2 linked regions of the Macaca mulatta genome follow. The protein of the gene in region 1 binds, or shares a complex with, the protein of each later gene. Links are inferred from orthologs where the notes say so. Each region holds a gene or a part of one and is shown in the gene's direction. Other genes may lie near its edges. The genes, in order: FUZ and CPLANE2.

Region 1 (15,596 bases):
TATTAAACAGTCATCAACTAACTTAATTCTCCAAACATCCCTATGAGATTGTGGTACCCAGCCCCCAATACAGCACCCAGCAATTCAGCCTCTTGTAATTCACACCCTGTGCAGTCTCCTCCTACACTGAATGGGACAGGCTTATACTGCACACTAAATGCAATATGGCAGAAGTGGACTTGGCACCGCAGCTCAGGCCTGTAATCTCAGCACTCCAGCACTTAGGGAGGACAAGGCAGGAGGATCGCTTGAGGCCAGGAGGTCAAAACCAGTCTGAGCAACACAGCAAGACTTCATCTCTACAAGAATTAAAATAAAGAAATCAGTCATGCATGGTGTTGCCCACCTGTAGTCCTAGCTACTCAGGAGCCTGAGGTGGGAAGATCACTCGAGCCCAAGAGGTTGAGGCTGCAGCAAGCTATGATCCCACCACTGCACTCCAGCCTGGGCAACAGAGCAAGACCCTGTCTCAGGTTAAAAAAAAGAATGTGGGCCGGGCGTGGTGGCTCAAGCCTGTAATCTCAGCACTTTGGGAGGCCGAGACGGGCAGATCACGAGGTCAGGAGATCGAGACCATCCTGGCTAACACGGTGAAACCCCGTCTCTACTAAAAAATACAAAAAACTAGCCAGGCGTGGTGGTGGGCGCCTGTAGTCCCAGCTACTTGGGAGGCTGAGGCAGGAGAATGGCGTAAACCCGGGAGACGGAGCTTCTAGTGAGCTGAGCTGAGATCCGGCCACTGCACTCCAGCCTGGGCGACAGCGAGACTCCGTCTCCAAAAAAAAAAAAAAAAAAAAAAAAAAAAAAAGAATGTAACAGGAATAATGACATGTAACTTCCAAGACTTGATTACAAAGAGCCCAGTGGGGCCTCTGGGTGCAGCGGCTCATGCCTGTAATCCTAGCACTTAGGGATGTTGAAGTGGAGGATCACTTGAGACCAGGAGTTCAAAACCAGCCTGGGCAACATTGCAGGACCTCGACTCTACAAAAAACAATTTTTTTTGAGACAGGGTCTCACTCAGTCACCCAAGCTGAAGCACAGTGGCACGATCTCTCCACCTCCTGGGTTCAAGTGATTCTCCTGCCTCAGCCTCCTGAGTGGCTAGGATTACAGGTACATGCCACCACACCCGACTAATTTTTGTATGTGGTTCTTTTTTTTTTTTTTGAGACGGAGTCTTGCCCTGTCACCCAGGCGCGATCTCAGCTCACTGCAAGCTCTGCCTATCGGGTTCACGCCATTCTCCTGTCTCAGCCTCCTGAGTAGCTGGGACTGCAGGTGCCCAACACCACGCCCGGCTAATTTTTTGTATTTCTAGTAGACAGGAGGTTTCACCTTGTTAGCCAGGATGATCTCGACCTCCTGACCTCATGATCTACCCGCCTCTGCCTCCCAAAGTGCTGGGATTACAGGCATGAGGCACCACGCTCGGCCATTTTTATTTTTAGTAAAGACGGGGTTTCACCATGTTGGCCAGGCTGGTCTTGAACGCCTGACCTCAGGTGATCTGCCCGCCTTGGCCTCCCAAAGTGCTGGGATTACAGGCATGAGCCACCATGCCCAGCCACTACAAAAAAAAATTTATTTTAAATTTTTTTTATTTTAAGACAGTTTCACTCTTGTTGCTAAGGCTGGAGTGCAATGGTGTGATCTTGGCCTACCACAACCTCCACCTCCCGGGTTCAAGCTATTCTCCTACCTCAGCCTCCTGAGTAGCTGGGATTACAGGCATGCGCCTCCATGCCCGGCTAAGGCCTGTAATCTCAGCACTCCAGTACTTAAGGAGGTCAAGGCAGGAGGAGCGCTTGTATTTTCAGTAGAGACGGGGTTTCTCTATGTTGGTCAGGCTGGTCTGGAACTCCTGACCTCAGGTGATCCACCTGCCCCAGCCTCCCAAAGTGCTGGGATTACAGGCATGAGCCACCACGCCCGACCTACAAAAAAATTTTTAACAAATCAGCCAGGTGTGCTGGCATTTGGCTACAGTCCCTGCTACTCCAGCTACTTGGGAAGCTGAGGTGGGAGGATCACTTGAGCTTGAGCCCAGGAGGTCGAGGCTGCAGTGAGCCATGACTGAGCCACTGCACTCCAGCCTGGGTGACAGAGTGAAATCCTTCCTCAAAAAGAGGCCTGGGGCTTCCTCTTTGCTGTCTCTATTGGGTCATTCAATCTGAGGAATGCCAGTTGCCATGTCAGACAGTTAAGCAGCCCCGTGGAGAGGTCTTGCGGCTAACAGCCACAGACTCACCACCTTGGGAGCCGATTCCCCACCGCCAGTCAAACCCCCTGGATGGCTGCAATCCTGCCGACCTCTTGACTCTTGCCTTGTGAGACCCTCAGTCGAATCATCCAGCTAAGCCACTCCTGTGTCCCTGACTCACAGAAACTGCATTAGATAAATGTTTGCAGTATGAAGCCGTTAGTTTGGTGGTAATCTGTTATGCACCTAAGAATAATACAATGAAATACTAATACAAGTACTATCCACATCCCCAGTTCAGAGATGAGATACTAGGCACAGGGGGGACATGAACTCCTGGGTCTGAGAGTTAGTTCTGTGGTGGAAGAGCCAGGATTTGACCCCAGACTGCCTGACTCCAGAGTCTACAATGTCAACTATCAAAATCTGATCCAGCGCCAGGTGTGGTGTTAAGGCAGGAAATTAAAGAAAAATAAAATTAAAAACAAAGAGAAATAAGTTTTACTGTATTAGGCTGACTTGCCTGAGAGGCAGCAACAGACACAGCCCAGACCCAGGAAAAGTTTTGATAATATTATCTAATGTGCTCTTGGAGACTCTCCCAGCACTCCCTCAACATAGGGAGAAGAAAAAACAAATTTTCCTTTGTTTTATGGAATGAGTTTATAGATTTCTGTTCTCTGTAACTAATGACTTCAAGTATTCTCTTTTATCTAAGAAGTACAGTGAAGGTCATGAGAAGCCTGAGCTGCCTGGGCACCATAGTGAAGGTTATGGGATAAGCCCGTGTCTAGGCAAACCTAGATAACGGACATCTGGGTTGCATAGCAACGGTTATGTGTAATCCTGAGTTATAAACCTGTTACAACAATTTGATTAACTGTCTTTGTCCTGCCTCTGTATCCCTGCTTTCACGCCACTGTAAGTTTGCTTCAAGCTAGCCCACCCCCTTTTGTGAAGTGTGTATAAAAGTCAAGTGCTGTCTTTGTTCTAGGCCGTCTTTGGACGTGAGTCTGCTTGGGCCTGAGTGCACTCAATGAAAGATTCTCTTGCTTTAAGCGGAAGACTCTCTCCCGTCCTCCTCAATCCTGAAACAGTGGCTCACCCCCGTAATCCCAGCACTTTGGGAGGCTGAGGCAGGCAGATCACGTGAGGTCAGGAGTTCGAGACCAGCCTGGTCAACATAGCGAAACCCCGTCTCTACTAAAAAAAAAAAAAAAAAATTAGCTGGGTGTAGTGGCGTGTGCCTGTAATCCCAGCTACTCAGGAGGCTGAGGCAGAATCGCTTGAACCCGGGAGGTGCAGGTTGCAGTGAGCCAAGACTCTGCCACTGTACTCCAGCCTGGGAGACAGAGCAAGACTCTGTTTCAAAGAAAAAAAAAAAAAGGTCTGATTCAAGCCACAGAGGGATCTATCCTGGCTCTGACCCATCCCCCTGCATTGAGACTACAATGTACGCATCTGGAAAAGGAGAACGGGGTAAATAGAAAAAGAGAGGACATAAAGGGGACAATCACACAGGAAGTACAAGGTGGCTGCTGGAGCTCAGCCAGGCCTCCCTGAATGGGAAGTTTTTCCTACTTCTAAACTGGTTGGCAACATTGCTGAGCACACAGAAGCCACAAAAGTGACTTCTGACAAAAACACAATCACCTTCAAAGTCCTTTAAATCGCTTCATGTATGAGATGTTTCCTGCAGCTCAAACCCAAGCCATCCCTCATTCACGGCCCCTCACAGGAACCCCAACCCACCCTAAGTGGGGGAAAAGCTCACTTAATGCCATCGAGCCAGGTGACAAACTCATAGGCGCTGCTGGTGGGAGCGTGACATTGTACATAGGACTCGGGAGCGCAGTCCACTGTGTTGAACACCACGAGGCTGTACTGGGTCCCTCCATACTGGGAGGGGAGAACAGAAAAACTTTTTTTTTATTTTTTATTTTTTTTTTTTGAGACGGAGTCTCGCTCTGCCGCCCAGGCTGGAGCGCAGTGGCCGGATCTCAGCTCACTGCAAGCTCCGCCTCCCGGGTTCACGCCATTCTCCTGCCTCAGCCTCCCGAGTAGCTGGGACCACAGGCGCCCACCACCTCGCCCGGCTAGTTTTTTGTATTTTTTAGTAGAGACGGGGTTTCACCGTGTTAGCCAGGATGGTCTCGATCTCCCGACCTCGTGATCCGCCCGTCTCGGCCTCCCAAAGTGCTGGGATTACAGGCTTGAGCCACCACGCCCGGCCCAGAAAAACTTTTAATCTGGGATCTCCATTCTCTTTTCCCTCAGAGAAGGAATCAGGGCTCCCAGCTTCCTGTTCCTCCAGAACCAGGAACTCCTCAACTTCCTCCTTCCTCAGACCCAGGAATCTCAGCCCCATCCCCTCCTCCCTCAGACCCAGGAGTCCAGACCCCTGTCCCTCCTCCCTCAGACCCAGGAGTCCAGACCCCGAACTCCTCCTCCCTCAGACCCAGGAGTCCAGGCCCCTCCTCCTCCCTCAGACCCAGGAGTCCAGACCCCGAACCCCTCCTCCCTCAGACCCAGTAGTCCAGACCCCTCCTCCTCCCTCAGACCCAGGAGTCCAGGCCCCTCCTCCTCCCTCAGACCCAGGAGTCCAGACCCCGAACCCCTCCTCCCTCAGACCCAGGAGTCCAGGCCCCCAGCCCCTCCTCCCTCAGACCCAGGAGTCCAGACCCCGAACCCCTCCTCCCTCAGACCCAGGAGTCCAGGCCCCCAGCCCCTCCTCCCTCAGACCCAGGAGTCCAGGCCCCCAGCCCCTCCTCCCTCAGACCCAGGAGTCCAGACCCCGAACCCCTCCTCCCTCAGACCCAGTAGTCCAGACCCCGAACTCCTCCTCCCTCAGACCCAGGAGTCCAGGCCCCCAGCCCCTCCTCCCTCAGACCCAGGAGTCCAGACCCCCAGTCCCCTCCTCCCTCAGACCCAGGAGTCCAGGCCCCCAGCCCCTCCTCCCTCAGACCCAGGAGTCCAGACCCCGAACCCCTCCTCCCTCAGACCCAGTAGTCCAGACCCCGAACTCCTCCTCCCTCAGACCCAGGAGTCCAGACCCCGAACTCCTCCTCCCTCAGACCCAGTAGTCCAGACCCCGAACTCCTCCTCCCTCAGACCCAGGAGTCCAGACCCCGAACTCCTCCTCCCTCAGACCCAGGAGTCCAGACCCCGAACTCCTCCTCCCTCAGACCCAGTAGTCCAGACCCCGAACTCCTCCTCCCTCAGACCCAGGAGTCCAGACCCCGAACTCCTCCTCCCTCAGACCCAGGAGTCCAGGCCCCCAGCCCCTCCTCCCTCAGACCCAGGAGTCCCAAGACTCACGTCTCCCCCGAAGTCCGTCTCAGCAGGAGGACCACCATTAAAATACCTGTGAGGGTCGGAGGTGAAAGGTCGGAGTCAGGCAAGAAGCTGTGGAAACTGAAATGGGAGGGCGGGATTAGAGCCGCGGAAACGGCACTCACTCGATGGCCGGCAGCAGGTAGTGCTTGCGGAGTCCCTCGAAGTAGGGTCCCAGGTTGGCCGTACCCTCAATCACAAACACCACGTCGGCCACCAGGCCCCCGGCGCGGGCCGGGCCCTCGGACCCGGGGACCATACCCCGTGCGGTAGCCGCCACCGCCACAGCCGCCGCAGCCGACACCGCGGAATGAGCGGAAATGCGCCTGCGCTGCGCGCGCACCCGCGCCGGGCGGTTTAGGGACGCTGGGAATGCGGCCATGTTTGTGCGGGGCACGCGCTGAGGCTTCGTTCTAGCTCCATCCTCCTTCGCCTCCACCGCGTGGAAAACTCAGAAAGGGCATAGTTAGCCCTTTTAGGGGCCTGATGGGTTCGACGGAATTCTTGTCAGGATTCTCAAGAGCGAAATAAATTGAAAGCGGCTCAGTCAGCCGCCATCTTTGAGCGGGGCGTCTGGGTCCGCCTCTTGTCTCAAAGGGAGGGGCGGGAGACCTGGTTGCTATGCAACGCGTACGCTGCCCTTGTTTTCGTTTTTGTGTTTTGTTTCCTTTGTTTTCGAAAGGGGAGTCTCGCCCTGTCGCCCAGGCTGAAGTGCAGTGGCGCGATCTCGGCTCACTACAACCTCCGCCTCCCGGGTTCAAGCGATTCTCCTGCCTCAGCCTTCCGAGTAGCTGGGATTACAGGTGCCCGCCACCAGGCTCCGCTAATTTTTGTATTTTTAGTAGAGAAAGGGTTTCACCATGTGGGCCAGGCTGTTCTCGAACTCCTGACCTCAAGTGATTCGCCCGCCTTGGATTCCCAAAGTGCTAAGATTACAGTCCTGAGCCACAGCGCCGGGACCTCTGCCCTTGTTTTCTAACCGTTAGATTAAGTTTCTGATTCTGTTCTTTTGGGCGGGCGGACTGGGGGAGGGAGGCGAGAAGGATCCAATCACATCGGCGGAAACGAGGTTACTAGGCAACGCTTTAAGGTCGTCCTCAACTTGGAAGGGAGGGCAGTTGTTTTCCCCCTGAAAAGAAGCCGAATACCAACCCAAGTGTGGGTTGCTTAGCAACACCTGAGCGTTGTTTTCCGGGAGAGGAGCCAGAAACTGGCCTAGAACATAAATACATTCCAGGTAGATTAAAAATGTAAGTGCGACAAATGAAACTCGAAAACTATCTGAAGGAAAAAAATCTTAATGACTGCCATTGAGTTTCTTAGCACTACAGCAAAGTCAGAAAACGTAGTCTTTATTAATTTTTCCCAAAAGACTGCATAAACCAAGTTGAAAAATACACTACCAACTGGAATAATCTAACGTGTTTGTTGACAGAAATGTGCTACACAAATCTTATTGATGAATAATATAGAAAAATAGAAACACTGCATTACTATTATCTTTTTAATTTTAATTTTTATTTTTTGAGACAAGGTCTCTTTCTGTTGTGCAGGTTGGAGTGCAGTGGCCCAATCTTGGCTCACGGCAGCCTCTAGTGCTCGCACTGGAGCCACTCTTCTGCCTGTAGAGCAGCTGGGACCACAGCCGCGCACCACCACTCCCAGCTAATTTTTAATTTTTTTTTTTTTTTTTTTTTGAGACGTTGTATCGCTCTATCTCCCAGGCTGGAGTGCAGTGGCGCAATCTCGGCTCACTGCAAGCTCCGCCTCCCGGGTTCACGCCATTCTCCTGCCTCAGCCTCCCGTGTACGTGGGACTACAGGCGCCCACCACCACGCCTGGCTTGTTTTTTGTTTTTGTATTTTTAGTAGAGATGGCGTTTCACCGTGTTAGCCAGGATGGTCTCGATCTCCTGACCTCGTGATCCGCCGGCCTCGGCCTCCCAAAGTGCTGGGATTACAGGCATGAGTCACCGCGCCCGGCCTAATTTTTAAATTTTTTGTAGAGATGGGGTCTCACTATGTTGCCCTGGCATGTCTCAAACTCCTGGGCTGAAGCAATCCCAGGTGTTAGCCACTGTGCCCTGCCACTTTATATTTACTTTAATAGAAAGAAACCTGACCCGGACCGGATGCCGTGGCTCACGCCTGTAATCCCAGCACTTTGGGAGGCCGAGGCGGGCAGATCACGAGGTCAGGAGATCGAGACCATCCTGGCTAACACGGTGAAACCCCGTCTCTATTAAGAAATACAAAAAACTAGCCGGGCGAGGTGGCGGGCGCCTGTAGTCCCAGCTACTCGGGAGGCTGAGGCCGGAGAATGGCGTAAACCCGGGAGGCGGAGCTTGCAGTGAGCTGAGATCCGGCCACTGCACTCCAGCCTGGGTGACAGAGCGAGACTCCGTCTCAAAAAAAAAAAAAAAAAAAAAAGAAAAAATTAGGGAAGGGATATTTTCACATTTTACATAGTATGCTACCATGTATAAATTCATTACAGAAATGATGTTATTTTTATTATTCTGGACGACAAAGGATTTCCTTGTTTTCTTTTTTCCAATAATAAAAACAACCTTTTTTTTTTTTGGTGGTTACTAGGCAACGATCGCTGGACTCAACCACCCTCGAATGTTGGGGGGAGACGGTGTTTTTCTCGATTTCGCCCCAAGGAGGTGCTCGGACTTCGACGTGCCACCATCTTTGAGCAGGGCACAGCTGTTTACAGCTTTGGAATGGAAATCTGGCTGAATGGTGGTTGCTTGGCAACACCCAGCCACGGTCGCCGCCTTTGAGTAGGGCACGTTGTTTACTACTATAACCTAGAGGGAATGTGGTTGCTAGGCAACGCTTTGGGACCGTCGCAATCTTTGATCGGGGCACAACTGTTTTTCCCGTTTAGAGTGTAAATCATCAAAGCCTACAGGATGGTGGCTAGGCAAGGCCTTGGCGCAGTCATCATCTTCAATCCGGCCTCTGGGTTCTCCTTACCTCCTCCGAGAAACAAGAAAGGTTTGCCAATTCAATTAGCCGCCATCTTTGTTAGGGGTACCATGACTTCCGGCCGGGGCGGAAGAGAACCTAATGGGCTTGGGGGAGGTGCCTGAATGGGGTTTAAGGGTCTGTTTGAGTTGGGTGAAGAAGGCGGGAAATTAATCCTCTTCCAATCAGCTCCCCATCTCGCCCTCTGGCGGCTCCGGACCACAGGCCGTTACTGTGATTACCGGCATGCTCCAAGACCGGCACTGACAGTCCCCACGTGAGGGACCGCGGTGGGAGTCCTAAATGGGGGAGGAGGGGACGGGTGGCACCGTTCATCTGCTGTGCCTCGCGGCGTCCAGCGGGGTTCCCCTGTTCTGCAGGAGCAGTCGCGGCGGCGCCCCCGCCCGTCAGCAGGTGGGGCCTTGGACACCTGTATCTAAACCGAAGGGGGTTCGGTGTTTTGACTCTGGGTCTTCAAGGCAGTAGGGGCTGGGGAGGTTTCAGTGTTGAGTTTGTAGGACCGAGGAGGCAATGCACCAATAAGCCTGATTCCCCAAAGAGGCACTGCCAGGGTATATGGAAAGAGGATGGGGCTGGGAGCTGGCACGCTTAGGTCCTAAGGAGGAGGGGATGGGGTGGTGCTCCTGTCTGATGTCCCTAACCCCTCCTTAGCTCCCGTTCTCTGTCATCGGTTCCCTCAATGGAGTCCATATGTTTGGGCAGAATCTGGAGGTGCAGCTGAGCTCTGCGAAGACTGAAAACACGACTGTGGTGTGGAAAAGCTTCCATGACAGGTCCCCAGGAGGGAACGTGGGACAGGGACAGGGCCTGGGTGATAGTCCCTGTTGAAGATGACCTCGGAGGCCTTCCAGCTCTCTAAAACCAGCTGTTAATTTGGCTGTGGGATCTTTAGCAAGCCAGTTACCCTCTTTGATCCCTGATGTTTTCTATAAGAAAGGAAGGTTGGGCTGAGGGAGGATGTATCTGGTGTTCTGGAATCGATGGGCGGACTCCAGCATACCCCTTCCTGATTCCCAAGGCCTTGACTCATTCTTCTCACTTCCATTCCACAGCATCACCCTCATTGTTCTGTCATCTGAGGAGGGCATCTCTGAGCTGAGGCTGGAGAGACTACTCCAAATGGTGTTTGGAGCCATGGTGAGACTCACCAGTCCTCTTTTCTCCCCAAACCAGCATCTGAGATCTCAGCATCCTTCTCCCTCAGACCTAGGAGTCCAGACCACCAACACTTCCTCCCTCAGAACCCAGGAATCTTTTTCTTTTTCTTTTCTTTTTTTTTTTTTGAGACAGAGTCTCGCTCTGTTGCCCAGGCTGGAGTGCAACGGCGTGATCTTGGCTCACTGCAACTTCCGCCTCCCAGGTTCAAGCAATTCTCGTGCCTCAGCTTCCCAAGTAGCTGGGATTACAGGCACGCGCCACCATGCCCAACTAATTTTTGTATTTTTTGTAGAGACAGGGTTTCACTGTGTTGGCCAGGCTGTTCTCAAACTCCTGACCTCAAGTGATCCACCCACGTTGGCCTCCAAAAGTGCTGGAATTACAGGCATGAGCCACCACGTCCGGCCCAGCCAGAACCCAGGAATCTTGACCCCCCAGTCCCCAGACCCAGAAGTGGGAGTCCTAGCCTCCTCTTCCTTCAGACCCAGGAGTTCAAGTCCCAGCCCCTCCTCTCTTAGAACTAGTTGCCCAGGGCCCATTCTCTCCTATATGGTTCTCCTAGGTCCTTCTTGTGGGACTTGAAGAACTGACCAATATCCGCAATGTGGAGAGACTGAAGAAGGACTTGAGGGTGAGGTTGCAGGGCATGAGGGTGGGAAGTTAGGATACCTGGGCACTGCCATTTGGGAACTACAGTTCCCAGCAGCCCCTGGGACAGCCTGGTCCCACAGGTTCTTGGTTGTCTGACCCTGGGTCCACCTGAATGCTAGGCTGGTCCCTTTCTCATTCTCCTAGGCCAGCTACTGCCTCATCGACAGCTTCCTAGGGGACTCGGAGCTCATCGGGGACCTGACCCAGTGTGTGGACTGTGTGATTCCTCCAGAGGGGTCCCTCTTGCAGGTACTGCGGATGCTATGGAAATACGTGTTCCGCTGGCCCTGGCTCAGTCCTCATCCTCTTTCTTCTGGACCATTGTCCCAACCTTCTCCTATCCTCTCAGTTTCCAGTCCTATCCCCACCTGGTCCCAGAAGAATCTTTTTTCTTTGTATTGTTTTTCTTTTCTCTTTTCTTTCCTTTCTCTTTTTTTTTGAGACATAGTTTTACTCTTGTTGCCCAGGCTGGAGTGCAGTGGCACGATCTCAGCTCACTGCAGCCTCTGCCTCCTGGGTTCAAGCAATTCTTCTGCCTCAGCTTCCGGAGTAGCTGGGATTACAGGCACCCGCCACTACGCCCAGCTAATTTATTGTATTTTTAGTAGACATGGGGTTTTGCCATGTTGGCCAAGCTGGTCTCAAACTTCTGACACCTGCCTTGGCCTCCCACAGTGCTGGGATGACAGGCGTGAGCCACTGCACCTGGGCCATCTTTCTTTCTTTTCTGAGACAGGGTCTCGCTCTGTCATTCAGGCTAGAGCGCAGTGGCTCAGTCATAGCTCACTGCAGCCTTGAACTCCTGGATTCAAGTGATCCTCTCATCTCAGCCTCCGCAGTAGCTGACACTATAGGCACGTGTCACCACATTCAGCTAATTTTTTTAAGAGATGGACTGGGGTTGGGGATGAGTGTCCACTAAGTTGCCCAGGCTGGTCTCAAACTCCTGGGCTCAAGCAGTCCTCCCCCCTCAGCCTCCCATACTGCTCGGATGACAGGTGTGAGCCATCACACCCGACCACCAGAAGAATCCTCCTATATCCAGAGCTGGCCCTGCCCCTTTCCTGCTCACAGCCCTCCCGCAGCCTCCACCTCCCCCAGGACAAGGTCCCAGCCCCTCAGCCTGGTGTTTGAAGGCCTGTGGCACGTGGCACCCCCTAACCTGTTGCTAAATCCACAATCTACCTCCATCCTGCTGCCTCACAGACCCCAGAGATCCCAACGACTTTCCAACCTTGGTACCTGCTCTTCCTCCTGTCTCTCAGATCTCTAGCTACCCCTACTTAAATACTGCTCTTGCTGACTTGCCTGGTGTGGGCGCCTCCCAGCAGTGTGACTCTCAGCAGGTGACTTGGCTTCTCTACATTGCTGATGGTGCCTACTCAGCATGTAACAGGCCTTGATGAACAGTAGCTGCTGTGGTTACATCATTAGCTTCAGTTTGCACACTCAGGCTAGGTGTGTAATCAGACTTCACAGTGTGAGTTGGGGATGTGACTTCGTATGAAGGTGAGGGAACTCAGGCTCAGAGAGGGTGAGACGCAGGAGCATGGCCACTCCACGAGCTTGGGGCTGGCTGTGGGTTTACTCCCCATTCCCTGCCCACCGGGGAAGTCGCTGCCAACCCCTACGCCTGTCTGCGACTCCCAGTTCTCCTGCCTCCCTTACCCAGGAAGCCCTCTCCGGGTTCGCGGAGGCCACGGGCACGGCATTCGTCAGTCTGGTGGTGTCGGGCCGGGTGGTGGCAGCAACGGAAGGTTGGTGGCGGCTGGGGACGCCCGAGGCCGTGCTGCTCCCCTGGCTGGTGGGGTCCCTGCCGCCGCAGACCGCTCGCGACTACCCGGTGTACCTGCCGCACGGGAGCCCCACGGTGAGTGGGTGGGGCGGACGGGGCAGAGGGATGTGACCTGGGGGCCGAGTCGCTAGGAAGCGGGATCTGCGATGGAAAGGGGCCGGGCCGCGGTCAGCCCCAGCCTGTGCCCTGCTTCAGGTCCCACACCGGCTCCTGACCCTGACACTGCTGCCGAGCCTGGAGCTGTGTCTACTCTGCGGGCCAAGCCCACCCCTCAGCCAGTTGTATCCACAGGTGAACCTGCGCCACGTCCCGCTTTCCCCCTTAGGACACCCTGTACCTGCAAGGCCCTTTCCAACCACCCTGCCCTGCCAGCGGCTTCTTTCCCCAGCCCCGCCCCTTCTGGACTGCGCTCCAGTCATTCACCTTCCCCGCAAGATCGGCCACCCCCGCGCGTCCTCCGTCCTTCCAGGCCTCGCCCCTTCCCTTGTCCCTTCTGCCCTCCGCCCTCCACTGTTCTCGTAGGCCCCGCCCCTCCCGATTGACCACGCCCCTATCGTGCACTCCCCCGCCGGCCCCGCCTTCCCATAATGACCACGCCCCCTGCAGCTTCTGGAGCGCTGCTGGCAGCCACTGCTGGACCCGTTGCGGGCCTGTCTGCCGCTGGGACCCCGAGCGCTGCCCAGTGGCTTCCCCCTTCACACAGACATCCTCGGGTAAGGCTCGGATGGAGGGAGTGGGTTGGGGATCATGTCCTCTTCCCCAACCATGACATTCCCTTCCCTTTCCCACAGGCTGCTGCTCCTCCACCTGGAACTGAAACGCTGCCTCTTCACCGTGGAGCCCTTGGGGGATAAAGGTGACTGAGGACAGGGGCAGGGGCAGGAGGAGCGTGGGCCGGGGAGGGGCTCTGCATCACTGCCTTTTCCTCAGCAGAGCCTTCACCAGAACAGCGCCGGCGCCTCCTCCGAAACTTCTATACCCTGGTCACCTCCACGCACTTCCCACCAGGTCAGCGGCAGGCACAGTGCTCCCACTGCGCAGGCGGGGACACTGAGTCTCTGGTCACGCAGAGTGGGAGTAGGAGGTGGGGTTGGAGGAACCGGACGAACCCAGCATGCACTGGGCCATAGGGCTGTGGTTTTTCTTGAGATCTGAGATTTGATGCAGATGGGAAGGGCGATCCTCTTTAGCAATACACATGGCAAACACGGCAGCAACACAGGAGCTCCAGTAGCCTTTTCCAGGAGGGAAGGGAGGGGAAGGGAGGTCCCTGCCTGGCTTCAGAACCTCCTAGATCATAGTTAACAATAGTTAACAGTGAGACCTCACCTCTTCCCAGTGCCTTTACATGTAATGAAAGAATGAAATCACTTTATCCTCACAAGCGAGGACTATCCTGTTACCTCATCATTCCCATATTACAGATGAGAAAACGGAGGCTCAGCTTATGAGTGGCACAGCCATATTCGAACACAGGGGATCTGGCTCCCATATCCACACGGTCCAGCACTCTGCACTACTGCTGAAAGCACAGACTTTGCTGATAGGCTTGGGGGATGGGGCAGGTTTTCACCGATGCTGGGTTAGAAAGGAAAAATTATTGTAAAACCCATAAAGGCCCAGAGAGACAAAGGGAGGGCCCTGGGATGGCGCTATGACCCCAGTGAAGCCCGGATGAATGCAGCACAGTGGTCAAGTGCTCCATCTGGGGGGCTGCACCCCTTCTTAGCTGTGCGACTCCACCTCTCCCTGGCCCCTGCCTGCTTCCCTCCACCCACCTCATGCAGTGGGGCGGGTGGGCTCCTGGAAAAGGCTACTGGAGCTCCTGTGTTTCTGCCGTGTTTGCCATGTGTATTGCTAAGAGGATTGCCTGCAGCTGCACAGTTTCCCCAGGAAAATGGGGGCCAAGGCTGAGAAAGAGGACGAGGGTGAGCTGAGAGCATCATGGTCTTCAAGTTGCTGACAGCTTGCTAGAACCCCGAGGCCCTGCCCTGGCAGAAGGCTCCCAAAACCTGTGCTCAGAGACCCCACGCGTTCAGAACTTGGGCCCAGGATGTGGTGTGGCTTCCAAAGGTTAGCATGCTACTTGTCACCTCAGTGCCCCCTGTTCTTTCCCCAGAGCCAGGGCCACCAGGGAAGACAGAAGATGAGGTCTACCAGGCCCAGCTGCCCAGAGCCTGCTACCTGGTGTTGGGGACTGAGGAACCAGGCAAAGGAGTGCGTCTGGTGGCCCTGCAGCTGGGGGTTCGGCGGCTGCTGCTGCTGCTGTCTCCCCAGAGTCCCAGCCATGGGCTGCGAAGCCTAGCCACCCACACTCTGCATGCCCTCACCCCACTTCTTTGACTACCTAGCAGTGGGTGATGGACACAGACATGGGGCTGTTAGCGTCTCTCTGTTTATTCGCTCACAATAATACACAGCCCCTGGATGGGGAGGGGGTAGGAGGGGCTACAACAGGGTGGGGTGGGAGGGGAGGAGGCATCCACTTTCCTTGCCCCTCTCCCCTCTGTGCTTGGGAGGGGGAAGGGAGGGAGGGGGCTCCCCCTAACCCCCCAGAATGTAAACAGCAGCAGATGAACAAAAATAAAAATACAAAAGGCCGGAGGAAGGTCCCAGGCATCCCCCAACCCCTGGCGTCTTCTCTGTCACCAGTGGAGGTCCCCCATCCACCAAAGCTGCCTCAGTCCAAGGGGCTGCCCAGTGCCGGCCACATCCCCGGGGGCAGAGTCCAGGGCTCAGAACTGCTGTGCCAGCAGCTCACACAGGTGACGGGAGACGGGCTCCTTGCTGGTGCGCAGGGTCAGCCGATACATCTGGGTGGGGACATTGGGGGCAGAACTCAGAGAAGATGGGGAGCCCAGGGAAGTGGGGACACAAGGGAGATAGAAGAAAGAAGGATAAAGGGGCCAGAAAAGTGATACAAGACACAGGAGAGGAGAATGTAAGAATGAAATCAACGGAGGAGCCAGAAAGGAGGGAAATTATAAATGAGAAGAGAAAGGTGGAAACGATATGGAAAGGTAGAAATCAGGGAGGGACAGGAAGAGGAGAGGAAGACCAGAGGTTGGAGACAGGAGAGAAGATTGATGGATAAAGAGGAGGAAAAGTGGACAAAGATGCGAGAGGAGGAGGGTCAAAGGGGGGACGTGAATTGAACAGTGAGGCAGGAAGAGTGGGCACAGAGATGACAGGTGGCCTTCCTGCCGACCTCAGGCCTCCCACAGCAGCACTCACCTGGGCCTGGGCGTTGGGTTCCAGCCGGAGCAGACAGCCCACCTGCAGGGCTTTAGTCTGGATGATCCCTGCCCCCACGAAGTTCTCAGGGTTGGGGTCCACATTGTCCAGGAGAGCAGAGCCAAATCCCAGAAGCTGGGAGGGAGGGGGGCCGCCGTCAGAGAGTGCCAGAGCTGTCAGTTACCACACAGTGGCATCCCAGATCCCAAAACCCTTGGGGATGGGA
Region 2 (15,749 bases), on another chromosome or scaffold:
CCCCAGCCAGGGTTCTTGTTTTTCTGGATACAAAAGGGCCAGTGGGCTGGGCATGGTGGCTCACGCCTGTAATCCCAGCAGTTTGGGAGCCCAAGGCAGGTGGATTCCTTGAAGTCAGGAGTTTGAGACCAGCATCAACATGGCAAAACCTCTTCTCTACTACAGATACAAAAATTAGCTGGGCATGGTAGTGCACACCTGTAATCCCAGCTACTCGGGAGGCTGAGGCAGGAGAATCACTTGAACCCAGGTGGAGGCTGCAGTGAGCCAAGATTGCGCCACTGCATTCCAGCCTGGGCGACAGAGCGAGACTCCATCTCCTAACAAATAAATAATAAAGGGCCAGAGGCCTATGCACATTTGGGTGTAAATTAAAAATCTGGCTGGGGAAGGGGAGACAGTGCAGGAATCAGCACCTCAGCCCAAGGTTTTGCCTTCATTACTCCTCCGGTGAGCATGAGAAAGTTTCCTGAAAGTGGTAGGCTTTGAGCACCCCAGGTCTAGGCAGGACAGGAAGCATCCACCAAAATTTTGCCCATGAAAATCCCGCAGGCTGGCCGGGCGCGGTGGCTCAAGCCTGTAATCCCAGCACTTTGGGAGGCCGAGACGGGCGGATCATGAGGTCAGGAGATCGAGACCATCCTGGCTAACACGGTGAAACCCCGTCTCTACTAAAAAATACAAAAAACTAGCCGGGCAAAGTGGCGGGTGCCTGTAGTCCCAGCTACTCGGGAGGCTGAGGCAGGAGAATGGCGTGAACCCGAGAGGAGGAGCTTGCAGTGAGCTGAGATCCGGCCACTGCACTCCAGCCTGGGTGACAGAGCAAGACTCCGTCTAAAAAAAAAAAAAATCCCGCAGGCTGGCCTCTGCGTGGTGCTGCCGCACACGACTGGGTCTTACCTGTGCTCTGTGCCTTTTCACCTCCCCCAGTCCAAGGAGAGCCTCCCAGCTAAGTTCCGCGTTCTGGTCTCAGTGGCCATTACTACTCCTCTTCCCACAAACACTGCCAGCATGTCAGTGGATGCTGTGTGAGGTGATGATTTGTCCACGGCTGTAAGTGTTCAAACAGGGTCTGACTACCTGCATGGAAAGAAATGACAGAGATGATTTATGCATCAGATCAAGATTGGAACAAAGGAAACCATGAGACATAGTTCTGTGGACTCAGAAGGGACTTAGAGGCGGTACGACAGGACAGACCTAGGTTCAAGAGCTGACTGTCACTTTGAGCTGGAGCAAGTCATCCTGCCTCATTGAGCCTCAATTTTATCAGTAAAATGGCAATGATGGCAGCCAGCCTCACAGGTTAGCAATTTAGCGGGAACCAGCCAAGAATCGTTAATCCATTGGATGGGTGTGATTCCCCAAAAGGCCACCTGAGGGCACCCTGTGAAAGGCTTCAAGTGTGCTTGGGTGATCTGTCGGAGGCAGTCTTGAGAAGGAAAGCAGATGGGCAGGAAGAATAAAACGCTTGCCCGTTTCTCCCCTCCCTCTGTCAGTTAAGCCTGGGGGGCACCCCTCCCTGGCCTCTGCCTTGTTTCAACTACCATCTCCCGGCTGGCCTACCTGCCTTCCCTGCCCCAGCCCTCAACCGTGGGAAAATGAGTCTTCCTCATGGGCTGGGCTCTGGGTCCAGAACCTGTTGGCATGCACAAAGCCAAGTTCATGTCTTAAGTCAATGCCGAAAAGTCCTAGCAGTGTGTTCTGCACCCACCAGGGAGCCTGTCTGCCCACCTACTGCAAGGAAGAGAAGGAGGGCTCCTTTCTAGCAGAAGCCTGGGGAGAGGGAGGATGCTCCTGCCCGACGACATGGGCTGTGGCCCGTTGACAAGGCCCAGAAAGCCTGGAACTGACTGGGAGACTATTCACTCTCAGCAAGCATTCCCTGAGCATCTGTGACCCCCGAGGCACTGAGACACACAGAAGACACAAAAGAGGCCCACCCATGAAGGAGCTTACAGCCTAATCACAAACCAGGGAGGTGTCCCATGGGCTAAACAAAAATGACAAATCCTGAGCTTCTAAGGTCAAAAGACAATCCAGGTATCATACTAAAAAGATACCAAAGGGGATGGAGTCAGTAGAACCATCTGCAACCAGTGCAGCCACCCAGGGCCAGGACAGTTTTTCGGGAAGCCACAAGCCAAGAAGTTAGCCTTCTCTTTGCTTTGGTGTCTTAGTTGCTTTGTGCTGCTATATACCACAGACAGTGATTTATAAGCAACAGAAATGTATTTCCCACATTTCTGGAGGCTTAGAAGTCCAAGCTCAAGGCACCATTCAAGCTTGGTGTCTGGTGAGGGCCCAGTCTCCACTTCCAAGATGTTGCCTTGTTGCTGCTCCATCGCGAAGGCTGTGTCCTCACACAGTGGATGGGACAAACTGGCCCCTCAAGCCTTTCCATAATGTCGCTAATCCCATCATGAGGGCTCTGCCCTCATGACTTAATAATTCCCCAAAGGCCCCACCTGTTAATACTGTCACTGTGGTGATTAAAGTTCAACATGTGAATCTGGCGGGACGTTCAGATCATGGCACTTGGCCTCATCCTGCTGACCTGTGGCAGGGGGGCAGATGAGGATAGAGCCTATCTGGGGCATCCCAGATGGGTGGGGTCTAGGCCTTGATTCTGGCAGTCAGTAATGCAGGATCTCGATAAACCTAAAAGCCTCAGCAGCCAATGGTCAGGGCTGAGGACAATGGAGGGTGACCCATGTGGACTTGATGACCAGAGGTCATCCCCTCAGATGTAATGGGAAAGGAGCTCCCGAGCGGAATCCATAGTGGGAAGAGAACACAGGACCGCACGGCTGAGGCCACGGCTGAGGCCACGGCAGGGGCACAGAGCAGAGTACTTTCTGCAGCAGAAGGCCCACAAGAGATGGCGTCCAAGGAGTAGCATCCCTCCCCAGCCATGCTTCCCTGGGATTTGGGCAAGCCTCCCTGCAACATGAGCCTCAGGGCGGGCTGGAGGAGGGGGTTTCTGGTTCCTCTGCCTCTCCCGGGTCTGAGCTCGTGGTTGTCATTGCTCAAGGCCCTGCTGTCTGTCCACAGCATCCGGACCTCTCATCCGTCTACACCCATTGCTTCAAGCTTGGTCCCTCCGCCGTTGGTAATGTCCAGCTCTGCTCGGGCTGCTCACCTGCGTTTTACATTCCAACATCTGCTGTGTGTCCTCTCTGGGCAGCCCCCCGCCCTCCCTCACTCCCCAGGGGCTCCTCCTCTGTCCCTGTACGCTTCCTCCGTGCTTCCCCCACAGTTAGGGGCACCACCATCCATCCAGTCACCTGGGAATCATCCCGGGGACCAGTGATCTGAGGACGGAGAATTGACCGCTGAGCTTGGCGGCAAGGTTGGTGCCCTGACCTGACTTGATTAACTGGCAGTGGCTTCTGCTTGGAGAATGGCCTGAAGCCCGGTGAGCCTGGCGGAAGGACTGCTAGGAGGCAGAGCAAGCATTCCAGGTGTGAGTGGAGCATTCCTGGTGCTAGGCCATGCTGAGGGAGGGGTGGGCGTTATTCTAGGTGCTGAGAGGATTTTAAGCCTGGTGTCCTAGCTGACCTCCCACCCCCCACCCACCCAGGATCCTCAAGCAGGGCTCTCCATGCCTCATTCTCACCCCAGCTCGGCCTGTGTGTCTACCCACCTGGGCCTCCTATCCACTCTGTCAAGTTGGTGACTGTGTCCTTGCCTTGTGGAGTCCTCTTAAGGTCTCGTGGGGACCTTGTCCAAGAGATGTTTAATATTTGTGGGGAGACCAAACCAAGAAGAAATGAGTGGATTAATCAGAGGGCTCTAGGCCAGGCACAGTAGCTCACACCTGTAATTCCAGCACTTTTGGAGGCCGAGGCGGGCAGATCACGAGGTCAGGAGATTGAGACCATCCTGGCCAACATGGTGAAACCTCATCTCTACTAAAAATACAAAAACTAGCCAGGCATGGTGGTGGTGTGTGCCTGTAATCCCAGCTACTTGGGAGGCTGAGGCAGGAGAATCGCTTGAACCCAGGAGGTGGAGGTTGCAGTGAGCCAGTGGCACTCCAGCCTGGCGACAGAGCAAGACTCTGTCTCAAAAAAAAAAAAAAAAAAATCAGAGGGCTCTAGACTAGAAGGGTCCTTAGGGAGATGTTCTACGTGCTTTGCTTAAGGCCCTGAAAGGAGAAGCAGCTGGCTTAGGCAGACACATAGTTTAGTGGTCAGAGGGGCGCAGGAGAGCAGAACTCATAGACCAACACGGTCCACAAGCGTCCTTCTGAAACGCAGTTCTAACCATGTCACTTTCAGGCCCCAACAGTCGGCTGGCCTCCTGTGCCCAGCAGCAGTGTTTACGTGAGGTCTAGGGACCCTGTTATGGACTGAATTGTGCCCCCCTCCACCCAGATCCATACATTGAAGTCTTAGCCCCCAGTGTGACTATATTTGGAAACAGTTTCTTTAAAGAGGTAATTAAGGCTGGGCGCAGTGGCTGATGCCTGTAATCCCAGCACTTTGGGAGGCCAAGGCAGGCAGATCACTTGAGGCCAGGAGTTTGAGACCAGCCTGGGCAACATGGCAAAACCTTCTCTGTAAAAAAAATGCCAAAAAAAAAGGCCAGGCGCAGTGGCTTACGCCTGTAATCCCAGCACTTTGGGAGGCTGAGGCAGGTGGATCACCTGAGGTTAGGAGTTCAAGACCAGCCTGGCCAACATGTTGAAACCTGTCTCTACTAAAAATACAAAAATTAGCCGGGCGTGGTGGCAGGCGCCTGTAATCCCAACTACTCGGGAGGCTGAGGCAGGAGAATCGCTTGAACCTGGGAGGCAGAGGTTGCAGTGAGCAAAGATCGCGCCATTGCACTCCAGCCTGGGGAACAAAATTGAGACTTTGTCTCAAACAAACAAAAATACAAAAAAAGGAAAAAAAAAAATTAGCCAGGCGGTAGTCCTAGCTCCTCTCGGGGCTGAGGCAGGAGAATTGCTTGAGCCTGAGGAGGGTGAGGCTGCAGTGAGCTGAGATCACACCACTGCCCTCTAGCCTGGGTGACAGAGTGAGACAGGTGGCGCGTGCCTGTAGTCCCACCTACCTGGGAGGCTGAGGCAGGAGAATCGCTTGAACCCCAGAGGCAGAGGTTGCAGTGAGCTGAGATTGTGCCACTCCAATCAATCCAGCCTGGGTGACAGAGTCAGACTCTGTCTCAAAAAAAAAAAAAAAAAAAGTAGATAAGAGACAAAAGATTGCATTCTTTTGAGTCCTTGATCAGCCTTCCACTAAATACATAATTTATTTTGTTTATTTATTCAGCTCTGTTACCCAGGCTGGAGTGCAGTGATGTGATTCTGCTCACTGCAACCTCAACCTCCCAGGTTCAAGCAATTCTTCTGCCTCAGCCTCCTGAGTAGCTGGGATTACAGGCACCTGCCACCACAGCCGGATAATTTTTGTATTTTTAGTAGAGACAGGGTTCACCATGTTGCCCAGGCTGATCTTGAACTCCTGAACTCAGGTGGACCGCCCACCTCGGCCTCCCAAAGTGCTGGGATTACAGGCATGAGCCACCGCGCCCAGCCTTTTTTTGTATATTTTTAGAGATGAAGTTTTGCCGTGTTGCCCAGGCTGGTCTCAAACAGCCTCCCAAAGTGCTGGGATTACAGGTGTGAGCCACCGCACCTGGCCCCAAGAGGACTTTACATCTTCTCTGGGTTCCAGATTAACGGGCATGTTACTCTGCCAAGTTGCTTCATCTTCTCACACGCTCACTGAGCCCTCCACGAACCAAGGACAGGGGTGGATGTGAAGTCTGGAAATCCAGAGATAGTTTAGATCTGAGCCCTGCCACTGAGTCACTCCTGGCCCATGGAGACAACTGTGAATCTCCCTGACTGGGCAGATGTGATGATAGCTGTAGGAACGGGAACCATGTGACCCGGAAGTATGGGCAAAGGATTTCAACTGCAGAATTCTGTAGAAATGTTTATTCATCTTGTTTTTCTGCCTAGCCATAGTGTGAGCAAGTTGAGAGAAAGCACTTTGTCTTACACATCCCCGTCCCCTCTCAGACATAATGGGCCTTACACATCCTTGTCCCCTCTCTTAGGACATAATGGGCCTTAAAAATCTGAGTTCATAGTCCTCTGGCTGCTTTCTGCTTCCCTAGGAACAGCCCTCCTAGTGGCTAGGGGCAAAGTTTTAAAAACACAAAACCCAAACTGGTAGAACAGATAGGTACTTTAGAGTCAGGTAAGCATGAAGCGTGGGTTTTTTGTTTTTTGGTTTTTTTTTTGACAGGGCCTGGCTCTGTCGGTCAGGCTGAAGTACAGTGGCATGATCTCGGCTCACTGCAACCTCCATTTCCCGGGCTCAAGCAATCCTCCCATCTCAGCCTCCAAGTAGCTGGGACTACAGGCATCCACCACTGTGCCTGGCTAATTTTTGTATTGTTTTGTAGAGACAGGGTCTTACTATGTTGCCCAGGTTGGTCTTGAACTCCTGAGCTTAAGCAATCTGCCTGCCTCGGCTTCCCAAAGTGCTGGGATTACAGACGTGAGCCACACACCAAACCAGCTGTGAGTTCTGAGTCGGTTTCATGCTGACTAGCTGTGCAGTGTGACCTCAGACAAGTCATGTTATGTTTCTGAATGTCTTCATCAGTACAAGAGGGTAATACTACTTATACAGATTTGTTTATAGAATTAAATCTAGGCCGGGCGCGGTGGCTCAAGCCTGTAATCCCAGCACTTTGGGAGGCCGAGACGGGCGGATCACGAGGTCAGGAGATCGAGACCATCCTGGCTAACACGGTGAAACCCCGTCTCTACTAAAAATACAAGAAAATTAGCCGGGCGAGGTGGCGGGCGCCTGTAGTCCCAGCTACTCAGGAGGCTGAGGCAGGAGAATGGCGTGAACCCGGGAGGCGGAGCTTACAGTGAGCCGAGATCGCGCCACTGCACTCCAGCCTGGGGCACAGAGCAAGACTCCGTCTCAAAAAAAAAAAAAAAAAAAAAGAATTAAATCCAGTGACCTCTGTAAAGCTCCCAGTGTCTGGCATTTCGGTGGCCTTCGGTAAAGCTTAACTCCTAGATTATTCCTTTCAAAACAGTGATTTGCCCTACTTGAAGGCATTGCGGGAGGATAATGGTAAAAATTAAATGTAATAGACAAACTCTCAGTAGTGACCCACCTGTACCCTTTCCAACCAATGGGCATTTACTGAGCACCCACCTTCTGGGTAACAGGCCTGGAATCCAGTGCTGGAACGGTGGAGGGGAGCTCAGAGTTTCAGAGCTGAAAAGTCAGCCCCAGGAGGGCAGTGACTTCTTGTTGGCCACTGTATTCCCAGCCCTTAGAATGGGCCAGGCACATAGTAGGTGCTCAGTATTTGTTGAATGAATGAATGAATGAATGAATGAAAAATACAATCCAGCGGGCCTCTGACTCTTTTTTTAAAAGTTCAGCCAAGTCCCTTGACCTCTCTGAGCTGGTGTGTGTCCCCATCAGTGAAGCTAGAGATGTTTAAGTCATCTCGAGGTCCTGCCGAGCAGGATTAATAGAGCAATAATATTAATAATAGCTACAATCATAACGTGGAGCACTGCTATGGAGGGAATGACATGTTACATCCACGTTATGGAAGAGGAAACTGAGACACAGAGAAGCATGGAAGGCTCCTGGAGAAGGGGGGGTTTCAAGATGTTTTGGAAGAAAAACTGGGGATCAGACGGAGTAGCAGAGAAGAGGATCCACGACCCAGAGGAAAAGGCCTTATCCAGCGCCGTCGCGCGGCGCTGCCTGCGGACGTTGTAGGAGGGACTAACGCAGCCCGGAACCCGCCCAATCCAGCCTCCGGCGTCTCCATGGCAACAACCTCTGCACATGCGCCGCGAGCACCGGCGCCTGAGCTGCCAGCACGGGCAGAAGCCGGACGCAGGCGGGGCGGAAGCGGGCCTGGCGGGCTGGGGCGATGGGCGCGCGGGTGGGCGTTTAAAGGGGCCTTCGGCACCCAGGTTGTTTCGCCGCCGGGAATGCTGACGGTGAGGGCTAGGTAGCCCCGGGAGTTGGGATCTAGAAGGTAGAGGAGAAGCAGGGCTGTCTGACCCCCGGAGGTGACAAGGGGAGAGGGGCTGGGTAAATACCTTCGCTAGGCAGTAATGGGATGACTATCCCCAGGGAGCACTGTGGAGGAGAGAGGCAACTGAGGGACTGCACTTTCTGGTACCCACCGGGAGAGTCAGCGTTTAAGAGGGATCATAGGCCCGGCTTGGTACGGTCACCCCCCTTCGCACTCCCTGGTCTCAGCATTCTGCCACTTCCCTACCCCGTCGCGGTGCCCAGCCATGGCCAGACCTCCCGTGCCCGGTTCGGTGGTTGTCCCAAACTGGCACGAAAGTGCTGAGGGCAAGGAGTACCTGGCTTGCATTCTGCGCAAGAACCGCCGGCGGGTGTTTGGTAAGTGCCTCCCCCTTTCCTCCAGCCCGCCACTTGTTTCTCCCTGCCAGTGTCACCTGTTGCTCTCTGAAGAGAGCAGAGAGGCAGGGCAGTGAGGGCCTGCTGCAGTCTTCAGCCTGGGGGACTGAAAGCCCTACCTCTGGGACCCCCCACCCCTAAGTCTCCTTAGAGCTAATTCCCTCGTCAGAGCCAGGAACATGGAAACAGCAGAAACCCTGCCAGCAACCACTGTCACCAGAGATGCAGTTGCTTGAGCTCTCCGCTGCTGCCAGGCCCTCTGTTGGGCTCGTTACACAGTGCACGCCCATTTAACCTCTCAACAGCACATGGTACAGACTTGGCTAATATCACACCCTAATAGAGGTGAGCCTCTTCCATGTCCTGCTGTCTCTAGGATGAGACACTGGTGTTCCCCATCACTGAACTGCCTGGGTGAGTCAGTTCAGTGAAACTCAGGCAGGGCCCGGCTGACAGGCCGGCAAAGGTGCCTGGAATCAGCTGTGGAGTACAGTTCTGGGCAGGAGAAGCAAGGTGCCAGAAAGCTTAAGACCAGAGAGTGAGATAGCTAGAACCAAAATTTGTGAATAAGTCAACTGTTTAAAAAAAAATTACACTAGATTCAAAATACGACCCTCACGCCTGTAATCCCAGCACTTTGGGAGGCCAAGGTGGGCAGATCACCTGAGGTCAGGAGTTCAAGACCAGCCTGGCCAACATGGTGAAACCCTGTCTTTACTAAAAATACAAAAATTAGCCGGGCATGGTGGTGCGCATCTATAATCCCAGCTACTCGGGAGGCTGAGGCAGGTGAATCACTTGAACCCAGGAGGCGGAGGTTGCAGTGACCCTAGGTCCAGCCATTGCATTCTAGCCTGGGTGACAAAAGCAAAACTCCATTTCAAAAGAAAAAAAAAACAAACCCTCGATTATGGCCACTGTCCCTTTAATCCCATGACGGCTGGTAACACTGTATTTGGGGTTACACATACCCAGGTAAGTGACCCAGGCTCCACCACTGCTAGCTGTATGACTGGGGATAAGTGAACTCTAGCTAAAGTCCCACTTCTGTAAAATGGGGATAATCACAGTATTTATCCCATAGAGGTCCTGGGGAAATTGATAAAGAGTGTGTTTGTAACATACTGAGCAGGGTCTGGCATACAGTGGGTGTTCACTGAAGGTTGGTTGTTATTGTATTTATTTTGCATTTAGTTGTGTTGAGTGGAAAAGAATTGAGTGAAGGTTGAGCTGATTTTCTGGGGACATCATAGAATCCACTGACCATATTATCTATGCCACAGATAGGATCAAACAGCCATAACTTAGAGGAATGGCAGTGATGGCTTTTAATTTTTGTGTTTTTACTTTAACCACAGACATTTGGGTTTTTTTCTTTTTTTTAACAGCTGGGTTTATGCACCCGAATGTATCATTCAGTGGTTGTCATGCAGGCCTCACAAGAAACAGCTAGTTGAGAGCAGCTAGTAAATAAATATCAACAGACTGACTATAATCACTTAGGCCAGTCTCTTTGTATCCCAGACTTCTGTAAAACTGGGTTGAGTATTAAGAGCCACAGATGGGGCTGGGCACAGTGTCTCACACCTGTAATCCCAGCACTTTGGAAGGCTGAGGCAGGCAGATCACCTGAGGTTGGGAGTTTGAGATCAGCCTGACCAACATGGAGAAACCCCCTGGCTACAAAATTAGCCAGGCATGGTGGCGCGTGCCTATAATCCCAGTTACTCGGGAGGCTGAGGCAGGAGAATCACTTGAACCCAGGAGGCTGAAGTTGCAGTGAGCTGAGATCATGCCATTGCACTCCAACCTGGGCAACAAGAGCGAAACTCCATCTCAAAAAAAAAAAAAAAAAAGAACCACAGATGGTTGCTTAGCCCTGAAGAAGCCATTAGAAACGAGGTTGTCCTTGGCTGCGTGTGGTGGCTCATGCCTGTAGTCCCAGTACTTTCGGATGCCAAGGTGGGAGGATTGCTTGAACCCAGGAGCTCAAGACCGGCCTGAGCAACACAGTGAGACCCCATCCCTATTAAAAATAGAAGGTAAAGAAAAAAAATAAAAATAAATAAATGAGATTGTCCAGCCCAGGATCTGATGGGGCAAGTGCAGGATTTACCCCCGTCTTAGTTCATTTTATGCTACTATAACAGAATACCACACTCTGAGTTATTTATTTATTTATATTTTTTTGAGACAAAGTTTCACTCTGTCACCCAGGCTGGAGTGCAGTGGTGTGATCTTGGCTTAGCAACTTTCACCTCCCAGGTTCAAGCAATTCTCCTGCCTCAGCCTCCCAAGAAGCTAGGATTATAGGCACACATCACCACACCCAGCTAATTTTTTGTATTTTTTTTGTAGAGATGGAGTTTCACCATGTTGGCCAGGCTGGTCTCGAACTCCTGACCTCAAGTGATGCGCCTGCCTTGGCCTCCCAAAGTGCTGGGATTACAGGTGTGAGTCACTGCGCCTGGCCTCCTCTGGGTAATTTATAATGAACAGAAGTTTATTTAGCTCATGGTTCTGGAGGCTGGGAAGTCTAAGAACATGGCAGTGGCATCTGGAAAGGGCCTTCATGCTGTGTCATCCCATGGGCAGACGGCAGAAGGGCAACAGCAAGACAGCAAGAGGTACCCAAACTGGCTTTTATAACAAACCCACTGCCCCAGTGACAACATTAATCCATTTATGAGAGCAGAACACTCGATCACCTTGTATTAGGCCCGACTTCCTAACACTGCTGCATTGGGGATTAAGTTTCCAACACATGAACTTTGGGGGACTCCTTCAAACCACAGCACCCTTCGACCCTGCCTGGCTCCCTTTTTGCCCTAGGCCTGCTTGAGCGGCCAGTGCTGCCGCCGCCTGTGTCCATCGACACTGCCAGCTATAAGATCTTTGTGTCTGGGAAGAGTGGTGTGGGCAAGACGGCGCTGGTGGCCAAGCTGGCTGGCCTGGAGGTGCCTGTGGTGCACCACGAGACCACCGGTGAGTGGGACCTCAATCCTTTGCCCATCCTGGGAGGCCCTCCTTGGGGGTGGAGGCAAGAACCTCGCCCTGGACCACACAAGCCAGGGTTGATACCCAGCTCCACCTCTTACTCTGTAGCCTTAGAAAGTCACTTCACCTCTCTGAGCCTACATGGGCTCCTTGGTCCCAAAGGAATAATTGTACCTACCCCACAGGGTTGTTGTGTGGTTGCCAACAGAGGTAGTAGTGGTAACATGCCTAGCATCAAGCTATGCTCAAGGCAGACGCTCAGGAAATGCTAATCTTGCTTTCTTGTTTCTCACCACTGGATGCTGATTGTTCCACCATGTTGAAACATCTCCCAGTGCCCTGGGCCCTTTAGGTCTCCCTGGACATAGAAACGAAGCTGCTTTGCCATAGCTAGGGCTGCATCTTCCTGGTATACCAGAGTCTCCTCCAGGGCTGGTCTCTGTTTCTCCCATCAGCGAATTCTCCTGGGTCAAGGACTGGGCTGCCCTCATCAAACTGGGGACCCATCAGGGCAGGGATGTATCTCTTCTTCCTATTCCTTCCTGGCCACCTATTCCTCCACCCCCACCTCTCCCATGCTGAATGGCTGACCCTGGCTCCCCCTCAGGCATCCAGACCACCGTGGTATTTTGGCCAGCCAAGCTGCAGGCCAGCGGCCGTGTCGTCATGTTTCGTTTTGAGTTCTGGGACTGTGGAGAGTCTGCACTCAAAAAGTTCGATCATATGCTCCCGGTGAGCAGGCATGTGGGCCTGGGTGGGCTCTGCCAGGGGCTGGTTGGGTAGTAGTGAGCTCAAGGCACTGCTCAGAGATCTGAGCTGGCACTGGAGACTGAGTCCCAGCCCATGCTTGTCCTAGGACCAGCCGCTACGTGCCCTGGGCCTCAGTTTCCCAATCTGTGAAAGGAGGGATTATTCCTGATTCTTCTCAGGGCCCTGCAGTTGATGGGAGGTGATTTGGTTATATGCCTCTCCATCACCAGGCTTGCATGGAGAACACAGATGCCTTCCTCTTCCTCTTCTCCTTCACTGACCGTGCCTCCTTTGAAGACCTCCCTGGACAGCTGACCCGCATAGCAGGTGAGGCCCCTGGTGTCGTCAGGATGGTCATCGGCTCCAAGTATCCTTTGGATACCCTCAGCAAGTCACGGAGCAAGGGGGTCAGGGGCCCAGCCTCTGCCCAGGCATGGAATTCAGCACCTGGGCTTTTACTTAGAGGGTACAGCATGGCTACCCCAGCTCCTGGGTGTGGGCTCCAGGGAGGAAGGAGAGGCAGGGTCTGATGGGGGGCTGTGCAGAGGCAGCCAGCCAGGCTCCTTGACCCTCCTCCAGATTTGACCAGTACATGCACACAGACGTGCCTGAGCGGGACCTCATAGCCTTTCGGCAGGCCTGGGAGCTGCCCCTGCTACGGGTGAAGAGTGTGCCAGGGCGGCGGCTGGCTGATGGGTGCACGCTGGACGGGCGGGCTGGGCTGGCTGACGTTGCCCACGTACTCAACGGCCTTGCTGAGCAGCTGTGGCACCAGGACCAGGTGGCAGCCGGCCTGCTTCCCAACCCCCCAGAGAGTGCTCCTGAATGAATAACGAGTGGGTGCTTGTGATCCCACCCCCAACCCTCAGGTCTCGACATAGGGCCTGAGGCTGAGGCAGGAACATGGGTCCCATCTGGAAGACTAGCCAGCATGACCTGATATGGAGGATGTGGCCGGAGAGGGCCCGCCCCGGAGCAGCACTTTCCTTGCAGAATTCATGCCAGGGAGTTGGGGAACAAGGCCCTGAGCTCGAACATCTCCCACGGCCTTTCCCCCTTTGGCAGCACCCGTGGAGGGTGACTGGAAGAAGGGGTGCCTCTCAAGTGACTTCAATCAAGAGCCTTTATTGGTTGAGGTGACACCATTTGTTGTAACAGATAAACTCCGAAATCCCAGTGCTGTACTCCATGTGTTCGTTCTTGCGTAGGCCTCAGCTAGGAAGTAGGTGACAGTGGGCGTGGGGCTCTGCTCCAGGCGCTCCTACAGAGACCCAGCCCCAGAGACCCTGTCCAGCTGCCCTAGGGCATCAGCACCCAGTTAGCAGCCAGGGAGTGAATGCAGGCGGGAGGTGGCCCCCAGCTTTCTGTGGACCAGGCCCAGGGTGGCACCTCATTCTGCCCACATTCCAGAGACCAGCACCCAGCAGTCATGTAGTCATGTGGCGCTGCGGGGGAGGCTGGGACATGGAGTCCACCTGTGAGTCCAGGAGTCAAGCCCGTCGCTCTGCAGGGCCTTTCTTTTTCTTTCTTTTTTTTTTTTTTTCGGAGTCTTGCTCTGTGGCACAGGTTGGAGTACAGTGGTGTGATCTCAGCTCACTGCAACCTACACCTCCTGGTTTCAAGCGATTCTCCTACCTCAGCCTCCCGAGTAGCTGGGATTACAGTCGCCAACCACCATGCCCAGCTAATTTTTGTATTTTTAGTAGAGATGGGGTCTCACTATGTTGGCCAGGCTGGTCTCAAACTCCTGATCTCAAATAATCAGCCCGCCACAGCCTCCCAAAGTGCTGGGATTACAGGCACGAGCCACCGCGCCTGGCCTGCAATGCCTTTCTTGATCATGAAGCTGTCAGACCAGGCTTAGGATAGGAGTCCTGGCAGCCCAGGGGCACCCGAAAGCAGCACCATGCAGGGTCAAGGACCATCCCAGTGGGGGTCAGAGCGTGAGCTGGCCTGAGAGGCAGCTCTGTCCCATGGGAGGCCATCAAGGACAGGAACCGGGAGGGGAGTGAGTAGGCCCAGCCTTGTGTCTTGGCCCTGCCCCATAAGCCAGAGACGCTGGTCAAAGTAGGCTAAGGAGGATGAGGGGAAGGCCCCAGGGAAAGGGGCCTTTATACGATCCCCTCCAATGAGCCCCTGCCCAGCCCCATAGATGAACCCCTGGGCTGAGGCCGGGCCTGCATCTGGCTCAAAGCAGAGTGTCCCCAAAGGCAGCTGACTCTTGGAACTCTGCAGCTCTGCCCAGGCCCCACTCACACAGTATGACCTGTGCTCACACACACCTGCGCTAGGACGAAAGCACTTTCCACGCCTGCCTGCTGGCACACACAGGAGGTCCAGACTCACCTGTCCTGATGCCTGCACCCAAGCACACTGCTCACATGCCCATCCACACTGCCAGCCTGTCCTCCCTGGGTACTGCCACCTACGTTTGTCAACCCTTCCAGGGTCTGGGCCAGAGGAAGGACTGATTCCAGCACCTTCTCACCGCTGACTAAGGCTTAGAGCTCAGGCCCTGCACTTACCCACACCCCAAGAAGGAATGTCCCTGGACGGGACCCCAGCCTCAGAGCCTGCAGGCCGGCTCCCACTCCTGCAGCCCTCAGCCCTGCTTCCAGGTGGATCTATCCACGTCCCCCTCTGTCCTTAACTCCAGGAGACCTTAGCTCACCTGAGGAGCAATGTAGTGGAGGGTAGGGCCCAGAAGGCAGCCCCAGGCCTGACTGTGGGCCTCCAGTTACAGGCATTTGTGCTTAGGAACCGCCTACCCCACATCCCAGCCGGTCATCTCTGGGCATAAACCCCACCCCCCCACCCCCGGAAAGGAGGCTTCCTGTCCCTCTTGGGCACCAGCTCAGCCAAAAGCCAGAAAGCTGTCTGGAGCATAACCTGATCCCCCCTCCCCGCCCCGCATGGCGAGGCAGGGCAGTCTCCTGGCTGACACTGCTCTGGTCAGAGAATTGACCCCTCATCCACCTTTACACCAAACAAGAGGTGTCTCCCTGGGTGAGGACAAAGTGGGGAGGGCAACAGGGCTGGGGCTTAGAGCCCCTCCACCAGCCATCCAGGGCTGCCTTCTCAGCTCCTCCCAGCACAGCCCCGGTGCCACTTTAGTATTTAGTAGGCCACCCCGGGGTCTCCATCACCACAGTGCAGAACTGGAAGCCACAATGCTTTGAATAGTCGACGCCTGTGCCTCCTGGGTGGTCTCTGGGCAGCCCTGTGGAGAGTGGGTGAGAGGAGAGTGTGTTCTCACATGCACATGTTCAGGCTGATGGCATGGGACTGTGACCTGTCCGGTCACACAGGGCCTCAAACTCCAAGGAGCCCCACACCTGGTTTAATGCTCTGCCATTGCCCTCTTGCTGATGCCCTTCTTATTTTTTTAGAGACAGGGTCTTGCTGTGTCGCCCAGGCTGGAGTGCAGTGGCCCAATCATCACTCACTGCAGCCTCGAACTCTGGGAGAACTCCCCATTTCTCCCCAGCTTCGGAAGTAGCTCCCACCATACCCAGCTAATGTTAAAACTTTTTTGAGAGACAAGGTCTCGCTATATTGCCCAGG

The links.
Region 2: the proteins of FUZ (region 1) and CPLANE2 are in contact, whole or in part, in a cryo-EM structure (PDB 7Q3E), measured with the Mus musculus proteins. The link is inferred for Macaca mulatta from reciprocal best matches to the Homo sapiens genes FUZ and CPLANE2. Residues at the interface, in NP_081652.2 of Mus musculus: Arg26, Arg35, Ile109, Val110, Lys126, Glu127, Arg129, Ala130, Tyr132, Cys133, Asp136, Gln215, Ala216, Ala217, Arg218, Asp219, Tyr220, Pro221, Tyr223, Pro232, Leu238, Thr239, Leu240, Leu241, Arg242, Pro255, Leu256, Gly257, Gln258, Pro261; in NP_001074643.1 of Mus musculus: Glu36, Gly38, Leu39, Leu40, Glu41, Arg42, Val83, His84, His85, Glu86, Thr88, Gly89, Ile90, Gln91, Thr92, Thr93, Val94, Lys124, Phe125, Met128, Glu134.

Annotation. Positions count from the first base shown.
Region 1 is NC_133424.1:62,273,946-62,289,541, reverse strand, and holds FUZ (protein fuzzy homolog), read left to right. Parts: upstream 1-8,630; 5' UTR 8,631-8,814; coding exon 8,815-8,925; intron 8,926-9,183; coding exon 9,184-9,305; intron 9,306-9,584; coding exon 9,585-9,669; exon of another isoform or gene 9,670-9,671; intron 9,672-10,252; coding exon 10,253-10,321; exon of another isoform or gene 10,322-10,322; intron 10,323-10,485; coding exon 10,486-10,590; exon of another isoform or gene 10,591-10,591; intron 10,592-12,013; coding exon 12,014-12,211; exon of another isoform or gene 12,212-12,213; intron 12,214-12,331; coding exon 12,332-12,427; intron 12,428-12,742; coding exon 12,743-12,849; exon of another isoform or gene 12,850-12,850; intron 12,851-12,927; coding exon 12,928-12,992; intron 12,993-13,066; coding exon 13,067-13,144; intron 13,145-14,255; coding exon 14,256-14,479; 3' UTR 14,480-14,763; downstream 14,764-15,596. Other genes in the region: MED25 (mediator of RNA polymerase II transcription subunit 25), read right to left, coding at 3,978-4,102, 5,522-5,567, 5,662-5,795; AP2A1 (AP-2 complex subunit alpha-1), read right to left, coding at 14,872-14,949, 15,371-15,505. UniProt on the Homo sapiens protein: Probable planar cell polarity effector involved in cilium biogenesis. May regulate protein and membrane transport to the cilium.
Region 2 is NC_133406.1:224,780,300-224,796,048, forward strand, and holds CPLANE2 (ciliogenesis and planar polarity effector 2), read left to right. Parts: upstream 1-7,851; 5' UTR 7,852-8,005; exon of another isoform or gene 8,006-8,043; intron 8,044-8,141; exon of another isoform or gene 8,142-8,306; 5' UTR 8,307-8,308; coding exon 8,309-8,420; intron 8,421-10,796; coding exon 10,797-10,919; exon of another isoform or gene 10,920-10,929; coding exon of another isoform or gene 10,930-11,065; intron 11,066-11,270; coding exon 11,271-11,423; intron 11,424-12,042; coding exon 12,043-12,167; intron 12,168-12,415; coding exon 12,416-12,552; intron 12,553-12,764; coding exon 12,765-13,014; 3' UTR 13,015-13,054; coding exon of another isoform or gene 13,055-13,125; 3' UTR 13,126-13,178; coding exon of another isoform or gene 13,179-13,213; 3' UTR 13,214-13,361; downstream 13,362-15,749. UniProt on the Homo sapiens protein: Required for efficient primary cilia initiation, regulating a late step in cilia initiation. Plays a role in the final maturation of the mother centriole and ciliary vesicle that allows extension of the ciliary axoneme.